Callithrix jacchus: one gene and its partners. The protein of the gene in region 3 interacts with the protein of the main gene of each other region in a pairwise test. Links are inferred from orthologs where the notes say so. Each region holds a gene or a part of one and is shown on either strand. Other genes may lie near its edges. The genes, in order: DMRT3, TCF25 and SAT1.

Region 1 (3,744 bases), on a different chromosome or scaffold from region 3:
ATCCACAAAATTCAAGTTCAGCAAACTCTCTTCCATCTTTAAAATTCCCAGCTCTTCTCTCACACAGGCTGTTTGTTCTCAGAGCTTCGGGCCTGGATAGCATGACTGAAAGGGCAGAAGAACTGGACCTGCCAGCCACCCGTCAACTCACCACAAAACAGGTGAGTCTGCATCATTTCCCCAGCTGCACAGGATCCAGACAAAGCAGTCCAGTGCTCCTGAAAGCCTCTCTCCAGAAGCTAGGGTACTGTCTTTAGGGAGTTGGCATGTCAGTGTAGGTACCAGCTTTACCACAGTTCTACCTACAGGAGGGCTCTGGACTTTCCCACTCCTAATTCCAGCATGCCTTCTTCTGGGAGAAGGTGGGCCGTTTTCCTTTGTGCATTTGACCCAGAGAAACACCAAACACATGTCTGCTGAATTTCAAGAGCCATCAGAAGGGCTCTAGGGCTGGGCAGAACCGCAAGCTAGAAATTCCCCAGGAGGAGAGAGACTAAGAGGCCCAACTCAGGCCTGCCAAGCTCAGGAGGCCTGGAGGAGAGAAACAGATGGGTGGTGGGGGATCAGATTTTGTTTTTTATCTCTTTAAACCACGAAGACAGCTGAGGGCAGCCTGGGGAACAGTGTTAAAGGATCTAGGAGGTTCTGCAAAGGAGTGAATTCTGGCCCACCAGATTCTTGGTCCCCCTATCAGCTCAGGAGCCTTTCGGGACCTTTTTACGGTCATTGCTAAATGGAACTTTTCACCAATTACAATAGTCTGGAGGCCACGGAGCAAAGTTAGAAAGGGCATGGGGCAAAGCTAGAAAGGCAATGGGTTCTCAGAGTTGGAATGCTCGTCCCCACTCAAATTTTCCTGGGCCCTGGGCTGGGCCAGGTTGGGTCGGGCCGGCTGGGCGGGGCAAGGCCCAGAAGCACAAGCAGCTCAGAGTCAGCCAGGGCTGGGTCTTGGCTCATTCCCTACACCTAACCATTCCAACCCCCAAATTCGAGGCCCTCTAAAACCCGCAGCCCAGAAAACTCTGCCCCACGTAGGGCAGTGTGCCCGCCTGCGTTTTAATTTGGCCCCGTCTCGACTCCGTTTATCTCCCTGCTCAATCTGACACATTCCCCTTTAACCTGGGGAAGGCACCTGGCGACCCTGATGCACAGTCCCGTGGTGTGGCTCCCCGGAGGCGCCTTCCCGGCGGGCGCAAGTGCCACCCGCGCTGGGTCCAGACTCAGCCGGCTTCTCCCGGGAGAGGAAACACCGGCCTGTCGGAGGGTAGGAAGTAAAGCTCCGCCAGTCCCACTTCCCAAAACCTTGCCTCCAGGCCTCCCAGGAGGAGCTGCAGCAGGCACTCCGAAGTTGCCCAAGCGCCCGTCCAAACTCCCGCACCGCAGACACTCTTACCTGGCTTGGCGAGCTGCGCCTGCAGAGCCCCGGGCTGCGGCTCGGAGGTCCAGCGCAGAGCGGCGGCCGCGGCCAACTCGGCAGCAGGGCGCGGCGGCGGCGGCTGAGACGGCTGAGAGGCCGGCGGCGGCTGCGGGGCGGTGGCTGCGTCCCCGGGCGGCGGGGGCCCGGGCAGTGCGCGTAGCGAGTCCGGGATGAGGCTCTCCAGGCTCTCGTTGGCTTGCTGCCGGCGCAGCGCCACCTGCGCCGCCATGACCCTCTGCCGCTCGATGATGAGGATGCACTTCTCGCAGGTGCAGTCCTTGAAGCGGCAGTAACGCTTGTGGCCCTTGAGCCAGGAGAGCACACCGTGGTTGCGGCAGCGCGCGCACTTGGGCGTGCGCTGCAGGGGCGCCCGCGGCGGCTGCGACACCGGGCCGCCCATGTACAGGTAGGGGGAGCCGTAGCCGTTCATGCCCCAGGCTCCCGGATGAGTTGGCGGGCTGGAGGCCGGAGCGGGCCAGGGAGCGCTGGACGGCGGGGTTGCGAGGCACGCTCAGGGGCTGCCTCCGGGCGGCGCGACCCTTGGTCCAGTAGCGCCGGCGGTTGGGCGTGCCCCGGAACGGCCGGAGGTGCCGCAGCCGTCTTTCCAGCTCCCTCGGCGCTCACAGCTCGGCCTCCCGGCTCGCGCCCAGCCAACCCCCAACGCGGGCCGCTGCTTTGGGCGCACAGCCGAGTCGGCACGTCCTCCCTTGCTAAGGGGCAGCGGCGGCTGCAAGGAGCGGGCGAAAGCTCTGATTAAGGTCTGAACCAGCTCGTCTGCAGCTCCCTTGCGCGCTGGCCGGACTCAGCACCTCCTCCGCTGCCCTCCTCGAACCCCTCCTCCTTCCCACCACCACCGTCACCCCCACCCCTGGGGTCCCGGTCTCCTTGCACTCCCCGCCCCACGCCTTTCTCCTCCTTTGCTCCCCTCAGGTCCCTGCACTTCACCTTCCTGGCCACCTGCAGCCGGGCCACGCTCGCGGGGGCGCTCACGGCCCCCTCCTCCAAGTCCTCTCCGTCACCCGAGCCTGCAGCGGGAGACTGCAGCGCTCCGGAACGCGGCGTGCTCGTGGGGCGGAGAAGGGGAGGACCAGCGAGAGTGAGGGTGGGGGTCCATGTAAGGGAGTGAGGTGGCCGCTCCCCTTCTCTCTCTTCTCCTCCCTTCAGTCCTCCTGTGGCTGCGTTTTTCCGAGCCCTAGGCAGCTTTTATCCCGACATTTGGCCGTAGAAACTCAGCTCCGGGAGAACCCGAACCTACGGGAGTGTTGGGGGTGCATCACAGACCTGGGTGGAGTTTAGGATAGGGGATTGGAGTGATGTTGATTTGGGAACGTTAAGCTCTTTTCTTAATTTCCTTTTAAAACGTATTTTTTTTTTTTATCTTTTGTTGCTTTGGAAAAAATGTATGTGGAGCTCTGCCGGCCCAAGGATGACCACCCCCCCTTTTTTTGGGGGCAGGCAAATTTTACTTTTCTACCCTCCTCTCCATGTTTTAATATAAAACAATATCCTGAAAGGTCAGGGACATACATGCTCCCGGAAAGAATTTGCTAAGCGCCAGGTATAAACTTTCAAGGAGCAGACGCAGAAGCCACATTAGCGCCCCCAAGTTTATCTCTTCCCTCTCTCCCAGCAGCCACTGGGGGCAAACGCAGGTCTGGAGCCAGCCACTCAATTAAAATCCCCAAAGATTCTGTGATTTAATTATGGATATGGAATAGGGCCACTTTTGACCCCTTAACCCACAGACCCCAGTCATAGATGTCTTGGGGGAGAGGGTCCTTGCACAAGATGACAGCAGAAAACTTCGATTAGATTATTTGTGTTTTCCCATTCTCCCAAGAGTAGCCGGTTTGGCCTAGTGCAGACTATCGCTATATATGCACAAGGAAGGCCCACCCCCTCGCGCCTCCCCCTTGCCCATCAACAAACAAAAAAAACAAAAAACAGGTGGATACACTGGGAGCGGGACAGCCCAATAGCTCTATGCCAAGCGGGGCAGTTCCAGAGCCTTCGGTGGGTACGCTTCTAAGAGTGTTTGCACCAAGCTCATCTGGCGGGGAATCGAATGCTAGATGAAAGCGGGCAAGTCCGCTGCAATGCCGGACCCCTCGTGGGCACAGAGGCCCTTGTCCCTCCGGGAGGCCGCTTTTCTTCCTTTTCTCCGTACTGCCCTGGAAGTAAGCAGACAACCCGAAAACGTTCCTCTGGTGTTTGCTGTGAATTCAAGGGAAGCACTTCCAGGCGTTCTAGCAGCCAACCCTTTGCCTAGAAGGTTGATTCGCGGAGGAGAGGAGGGTTTAAAACCGAACCCGGTTGAGTGTTTCCCT
Region 2 (3,644 bases), on a different chromosome or scaffold from region 3:
GCCCAGGCTGGAGTACAGTGGCGTGACCTCAGCTCACTGCAGCCTTGACCTCCTGGGCATGCTTGAGCGATACTCTCCCTCAGCCTCTCAAGCAGCTGGGGCCACAGGCATGTGCCACCAGGCCTAGGTCGTTTTTAAAATGTTCAGTAGAGACTGCATCTTGCCACAGTGCTCAGACTGGTTTTCAAGCAATCCTCTCATCTTGGCCTCCCAAAGTGCTGGGATTATAGGCATGAATCACTGTGCCCAGCCAGGCTTACTTCTAACACAAACAAATTTATTTTCTTTTTATTTATTTTTTAAGAGATGGAGATCTCACTATGGTGCCCAGCTTGGACTTGAACTCCTGGGCTCTGCAGACCTCCCACTCCAACCTCCAGAGTAGCATCGGGCGCGTCCACAGACAAAGGTCAATGTGGGCTGAGCCAATCCAATCTCTCCATCCTTGAGCCCAGAGAGAGGAAGGCGGGTCACCCTGGGTCTGTGGGCTCCGGTCCAACCTGATGGGCAGTCACGCACTGCCTCTGAGCTCATTCGCAGAAGGGAGGGGAGAGCTGCAAGCCCCCCAGGCCGGCTGCACTCACCTGTTCTCGGGTCTGCGGTAATCCAGCCGGCAAGCCCCGCTGGTGAGGCTGAACAAAGGGTGGAACGCACACTCCATACTGTACAGTGCTCTCTCTGTGGGCACAGAACCCCAGGGGAGGGTGTTACGGCCACGCACAGCAACCAAGGCCCCTCCTCTGATGATGCACAATGAGGAGAGGTCTGGAAGCAAAATCACAAAACTAGAATCCTGGACCCTTAGAGGGCAGACATGACCCTGGGCATCCCAGATGCCACTCTGAGTTTATTTCAACCACAGAACTTGTGAGCTTGAGACAGAAACACCTTAAACACTACGAGGCACAACTGCTGCCACATCCTGATGGAATCAGGCGTCCACGCGTGCAGCACAAACGTGTCAGATCCTGGCGGAATCAGGCGTCCACGCGTGCAGCACAAACGTGTCAGATCCTGGCGGAATCAGGTGTCCACGCGTGTAGCACAAACGTGTCACATGCTGTCAGAACCAGGCATCCACGTGTGCAGCACAAACGTGTCCACATAAGACCAGCATATGCAAGCTCACAACAGCACTATTATTTACAATAGTCAAAAAGCGGAAACAGCCCAGACAGCAATCAACTAATGACAGATACACAAAACGTGGTCTATCCACACAGTGGATTATTATTCAGCCACAAAAACGAATGAGGTTCTGATCCATGTTACGGTGAGGATGAACCTTGGAAATGTTATGGTAAATAAAAGCCAGAGACAAAAGACCACATAGTATAAGATTCTGTTTACGTGATATGTGCGGAACAGGCAAATCCACAGAACAGGAGAACAGCAGTGCAAGGGGCTGGGAGGAGGAGAGCTAAGGAGCTGAGGGGCTTCTTTTGCAGGTAATGAAAATGATCTGAAATTGATCATGGTGTCGGCTGCACAACTCTGGCATATACTAAACACCAGCAAACTGTAGCTTTCAATGGCTGCATTTTGTGCTCTGCAGGTCGTACCTCAATAAAGCTGTCATGGATATCCTGGCAAACCCCCTGCACCCTCTGACATCTCAAACCACCGCATCTGTCTTGATGGCTTGAGGTGCTCCCACAGCTGATGGGAACAGGGTGGGGGACTCCGTCTTACCTATGAGGTCTCGAGCCATCTCCTGATCCTCTTGAAAGCGGCAGGCATCGCTGAGCTGCAGGAGTGAGTCCACGTGATATGGGCTCGTCTGGAGCAGAACCTACCAGAAGGGAGGACAGGCCTGGAGGAAAGCCACACGCAGCCCTCTTGGGGACAGACACCCAGCAAGGCACCAGCTCCCAGGCACGCCCATCTTTCAGGCATTTAAAACCAGGGGAGGCCAGACACAGTGGCTCTTGCCGGTAATCCCAGCACTTTGGGAGGCTGAGGCGGGAGGATCATTTGAGGTCAGGAGTTCAAGATCAACCTGCCAGGCACGGTGGCTCTCGCCTATAATCCCAGCACTTTGGGAGGCTGAGGCAGGAGGTTCACTTGAGGTCAGGAGTTCAAGACCAGCCTGGCCAACATGGCAAAACCTGATCTCTACTAAATATACGAAAATTAGTTGGGTGGGGTGGTGCAGGCCTGTAATCCTAGTTACTCGGGAGGCTGAGGCAGGAGAATTACTTGAACCCAGACTGTGACTGCGCCAACGTACTCTAGCTTAGGTGAGAATATGAGATTCCGGCTCAAAGAAAAAAAACTGGGGGAAATTAATTCCAGGGGTGACAGTCACAACGTCCCCCAACTCACAATATGCTAGTTATTATTGCCAAGCTGAACCAAGCATCTGATTTAAGGCAGGAACTCAGAACCTGACACACCCAGGCCAGGGGCTACCTAACTCCCCACTATGCCCCAATAAGGAGTGGAAGCCAGCAGCCTGCTTTTCCCACAGGGAAGACGACGGTGAGCTCTCAAAAGCACCTTGCCCCCAGCCACAGTCCTGAGGTGGCATGGACAGGGATGAGGGTGTCCAGAGAGCGTGGAGGACGACCTCCTTCTGGTTCTGAGGACAGGGTTGGTTAGGATCTCGGGCCCCGGGGGCACCAAGCCTGGGGGTTTGTGAGGAGAGGACACCTTCACTGACAGGTGGGCCGTCCGGAGGCAGGGAATCTGAGCTGCTTCCCCTGTGCTGAGCCAGCAGGAGGCAACAGCAGCAGCCAGAAGCCCCAAAGTCCCAGGCCTGCCTCACACAGCAAGGGTCTCGAAGAACGGGCAGTGACAGCAGCACTCCAGGCTCTCCTCGGAGTGTGGACTTTGCCTAGAGCCTCTGAACACATCTCCCTCTGGTCACGTGGCCTGATGGCCCTGCAGAGACCGGCACCCTTCCTATTGGAAAGGGCAGGAGGCCGCACACCTCCCACAGTTACCACGGAAGGACATGGCCCAGTGCAGCAGTGGCTACACGGCCCTGCTCCTGTCGGGCTGTAAGGACCACACACCACAATGTTGTTGGGCTCCATGGACTCCACGGCCACCAGGAACTTGTGCTGCGCCTGCTGGTACTCCTCACTGTGCTCGAACGCAAACAAGGACAGGCCTTTTTTCGATTCCAGCAGCCGCATGGACAGACCTGGGAGGGGAGAATGCTCAGGGAGGTCGTGCCAGGAGCTAAAACTGTGGGAGCCTTTGTACGGCACAGCAGCTCCAAGCACAGCCCCCCACTCTGCTCAGGAGGGTGTGCTGGGAGCAGGAACCGTGGGCACCTCTGTGGGGCATAACAGCCCCCCTACCCTTTTGGTGTTCTTGACAAGGCCTCCGCGGTATCAACCAACTTGACCTGAGTGTGTACTTACGCATGTCACCCAGGTCCAGGCACCTTCCCAGAATACCCACCATCTGGTCTATACCAGCAGACGGTATCCTGTCTGCTTTAGTTTCCTATCAAGACGTGTTTCCCCCCAGAACTCAGATACAGCTCAGGCCTCACTGGCCTGGAGGGAGTGTCAGGGACAAGGACACATACAGTCCACAGGTCACCAGATCCGATCAGGCCAAACCCTGCCCCCAGACCAAGTCTGATCGGGGTGAATGTCCAGGGTGGCAGTGAAAAGGCAGGGGTGGAGTGC
Region 3 (3,744 bases):
AAACCAAAAACTACGACATACCCTGCTTAGATTCTTCAGAATTTCTGATCCTATGCCAAAGCCTAAAAAGTTAAAGAGAAGTACGATTTAAAATGTCATTGTAAGGATTTACAGCCCTGAACTCTTCAGACCCTCTGCCCCAAACTCAATCATACCTCTATAATCACTCATCACGAAGAAGTCCTCAAGATACAGTAACTTGCCAATCCACGGGTCATAGGTAAAATAGTACATGGCAAAACCAACAATGCTGTGTCCTGTAATAAGAGTATCACATGAGATGTGGAGAAGGAAAACATTCCATAAAAGTTGTAGCTGCAGAATCAGAGGCCTATCATAGATTTTAAAAAACATACATGCATGTGTTACAGAAACAAGGAGCCACGACTGTCTCATGATTTACATGAGTGCAGTCCAGGCCACTGCTGGATGATCTCACTGTTCTGAGAACATGTATTTGCAAAAAGCACACATCAGAACTCACTGAAGTCAGGCTACAACTGTGGACTTGCCACTCTGCAGACTGCTGGATCTCACACTCAGGAAGCTTTCATTACTTGCCAGAGCAAAACTGCTACGGTTTTAAACTTGCACACACATTATTCACATCCTATTGGTATACTGGTATGTTGACTTGGGAATAAGTCAGGTTTACACGGCAGTTCAGAATAGTCGATATTTGTAAGTTTACAAAGTCTTGCTTCCTTAAAGGTCAGAACATCAGGCCAAAGTACAATGTTTAATTTCAGAACTTGCCTTCCAATATACATATTTTCAATTTGCTCTCCCCATTTGTTGAGTCAGAAGCAGCAGCATTTCCCAGAAACAGGTATTACGTAACACCCACATACTCTAAAAAGTACTCATCCCTTCTGTTTTTCTGCTGATTTCTTCTAGCCTGAGGAACAGACGTCAGAAAAAAAAGCACCCACCCAAACAACTTCCCCTTTTAGCTGAGCTGTCTTCTGACCAATCAACAGGGATCAGCAAGAAAAAAAAAGGCAACTGACACCCTCTTAACGGGTATCTACTATTCCAAATGGAGGCGAAGGTTTCAAATTAAACTTTCTAGCCATTTTATATTCCTTTGCAAACAGACAGGAAGCGAGTATCATAGTGGGTTTCTGATCTACCGTGTTTTAACTGTGTGATAATAGGACCTTACCTCATTTATCATGATCATCTACTTTATTGTGTAAAGGATCTTTTAGTTACCTCCCCGCCCATCCATGTACACGGAAGGGCCATGTACATGGCGAAGCTAGAGACTGTAACCTGAAGATTGGGACAAATTAAAGAAAAAAATGTGATTTAACACAATTACAAAAACGGTCACGTTAGGGTCAAACAAGAACCATTTTATGAAACTGAATTACAACAAATGACATTATACCTAACTCTTCCAGGTCTTCACAGCACTCTGATACTTACTTAAGCAACTTAAACTCTTCCGAGTCTCCACAGCACTCTGATACTTAAACTCTTTTACCCTACCCTATTATTCTCAAGTGCAGCGTATCTAATTTTTTTTTTCTTCAGTACTTTGAACACTTGCTATTTTTTTCTGTCCAACTTCTCAGTAACTTCGGCCTGCGGAGTCAGGGCTACACAGCCAACACTACTTCTTACAAAACACTCGGTCTCTCTGTCTGTTGGAAGGGGAGAGGGGTTACCTTCTGGAGTCCAGTGCTCTTTGGGGACTTCTGCAACCAGGCAGTGGTAAAAGGGGTGCTCTCCAAAGCCATCTTCTAGCAGATCTGCAAAAAGGGACAGCAGGGGCGGTAATGGCCTCGGCGAAGGTGACAAGCACCGAACGCTATTCCCCCACCCCGCCGCTGTTGAATTACCTTTTTCAGTTAAGATTACTTGTTCTTCCATGTATTCATATTTAGCCAGCTCCTGGGGGGATGCACATAGGAGAGAGAGAAGCCGAAAACAAAATAAGGCTCAGGCCAGGCCAGCTCAGAGGAAGGGAATGGGGCGGGTGGGGCGGGGTGGCAGCCTGCCCAGGGTGGCGGCCGCACCGGAGATGGGGCGAAGGGAGGCAGGCGCAGAAAAGGGAACAGGCTGGGCTCTCACACCGGCCCAGACCCCAAGACGTGGATCCTTGCCCACCCCGGAAAACGGAGCCATCTCCATCCCACGCTCCCCGACGGGAGCTCGGGCTCTCCGCTACCTTGATCAGCCGCAGTATGTCACTGCAGTCGGCGGCAGTGGCTGGGCGGATCACGAATTTAGCCATTTTCGTCTTTTGCTTTTCTTCCCTTTGCGGACCAGGCCCCTGTACTTGAACAGTAGGAGGAGGTGGTTCCTCATTCGTCTCCCGGGAGCGTTCTCTTCTCAGTCAGGCTGGCACCATGACCCAGCGAACCTCGGCGAGTGACGGAAAAACCTCAGCCGACTTACGACTAAGCTGCGCACTCGAACCCTGGTCCGGCCCAGCTCTTAAGTGCGAGAAGCCCCGCCTTGGGCCGTGAGGCGGAGGTCTCTCGTCCAATGAGGTCGCGGCCCCGCGGCGCACCGCTTCCTCTCCCAGGCACCACCCTTTCTTCCGGGAGCCCGTGTGAACCCGTAGGACAACAGCATGGGCGGCCGGGCGCGCTGTGGGATTCGCTAGTCGCGCCCTCTAGTGGCGCTTCGTGGAGTCTTCCCGGAAACCTCACCAGCAGCCCGTGTGTCCTCTAGTAACCCTTGCAAAAGGAGGGGAATTCCCTCTGCGGCCCCCGACCATTGACCTTGCTCTTTTCTCCTTGGCGGGTCAGGGAAGCAAACTCAGGAGCCCTGGCCTTAGGAGATGGGAGGAAGATTAAAGCAGCAGTTCTCAAAGTGTGATCCGGGAGGCCCTGCAGATCCCAAGATCTAGAGATTCGGTGGCAGAACTAGTTTTAGACGTCATATGCCTCTTCAACTCGCAATGGAATTTTCCATAGGTGACCCGGTGTCTAATGATGACACTGCTGTTATGACCAAAGGAATGTGAGCTTGTATATTCTTGTGGTTTTTAGAATTTCCTAGGGTAGGTTATTTGGATTTCCCAATAATCTTTTTTCCTTATACTTGTAGTTTTTAGAGTTAACAGGATATTTTTTCTTACTTCTTAAAGAAGGTACTTCTTGTACCTTCTTAAATCTCTGATCTTCCTTGACACCTTTCCTTCTGCCTGAGGTACATTCTTCCTAATTTCCTTTAGTAAAGATCTGCTTTTGCCACACTTTCTCAGTTTTGCTTGTCTGAATGTGTCTTTATCTTAAAATTCTTTTTTTATTACAGTAGTCAAGTGCAGTAGTGAGAGTAAAATAAGGAGTTTGATCTGTAACTGACTATAAACAATCGAGATAACTTACTACCTTTGGAACAGCCCATCTTAAAATTCTTTTTTTTAATTTTTTTATTTTTTAGAGACGGTGTTTCACCATGTTGGTCAGGCTGGTCTCCAATTCCTGATTTCACGTGATCTGCCCATCTCTGCCTCCCAAAGTGCTGGGATTACAGGTGTGAGCCACCACACCCAGCCTCCATCTTAAAATTCTTGAAGGGTTTATTTCACTGTTTATAGATTTTGAGGTTCAGAAGTTTTCCTCTTTCAGCACATTGGTGGTTGGTATCTGTCTTCTAACTTCAGTTGCTGTTAAAAGTTGTTGTAATCCCCACTTGCTTCATTTCCTTTAACTTTTTTTTGAAATAATTATACATTTACAGGATATGTGATGATGTCATTGCTCTAGTGACTAAAATAATATGTGC

What was found.
Region 1: the proteins of SAT1 (region 3) and DMRT3 interact in binary tests that used the Homo sapiens proteins (3 or more experiments, as listed by UniProt). The two-hybrid records come from large-scale screens. The link is inferred for Callithrix jacchus from reciprocal best matches to the Homo sapiens genes SAT1 and DMRT3.
Region 2: the proteins of SAT1 (region 3) and TCF25 interact in binary tests that used the Homo sapiens proteins (3 or more experiments, as listed by UniProt). The two-hybrid records come from large-scale screens. The link is inferred for Callithrix jacchus from reciprocal best matches to the Homo sapiens genes SAT1 and TCF25.

The regions. Positions count from the first base shown.
Region 1 is NC_133502.1:107,433,848-107,437,591, reverse strand, and holds the start of DMRT3 (doublesex- and mab-3-related transcription factor 3), read right to left. Parts: upstream 2,460-3,744; 5' UTR 1,848-2,459; coding exon 1,394-1,847; intron 1-1,393. UniProt on the Homo sapiens protein: Probable transcription factor that plays a role in configuring the spinal circuits controlling stride in vertebrates.
Region 2 is NC_133521.1:47,532,585-47,536,228, reverse strand, and holds part of TCF25 (ribosome quality control complex subunit TCF25), read right to left. Parts: intron 3,149-3,644; coding exon 3,018-3,148; intron 1,793-3,017; coding exon 1,693-1,792; intron 679-1,692; coding exon 585-678; intron 1-584. UniProt on the Homo sapiens protein: Component of the ribosome quality control complex (RQC), a ribosome-associated complex that mediates ubiquitination and extraction of incompletely synthesized nascent chains for proteasomal degradation.
Region 3 is NC_133524.1:24,515,485-24,519,228, reverse strand, and holds the start of SAT1 (diamine acetyltransferase 1), read right to left. Parts: upstream 2,424-3,744; 5' UTR 2,317-2,423; coding exon of another isoform or gene 2,243-2,316; coding exon 2,177-2,242; intron 1,900-2,176; coding exon 1,848-1,899; intron 1,758-1,847; coding exon 1,674-1,757; intron 258-1,673; coding exon 156-257; intron 63-155; coding exon 22-62; intron 1-21. Other genes in the region: uncharacterized protein LOC144581000, read right to left, coding at 2,227-2,316. UniProt on the Homo sapiens protein: Enzyme which catalyzes the acetylation of polyamines. Substrate specificity: norspermidine = spermidine >> spermine > N(1)-acetylspermine. This highly regulated enzyme allows a fine attenuation of the intracellular concentration of polyamines.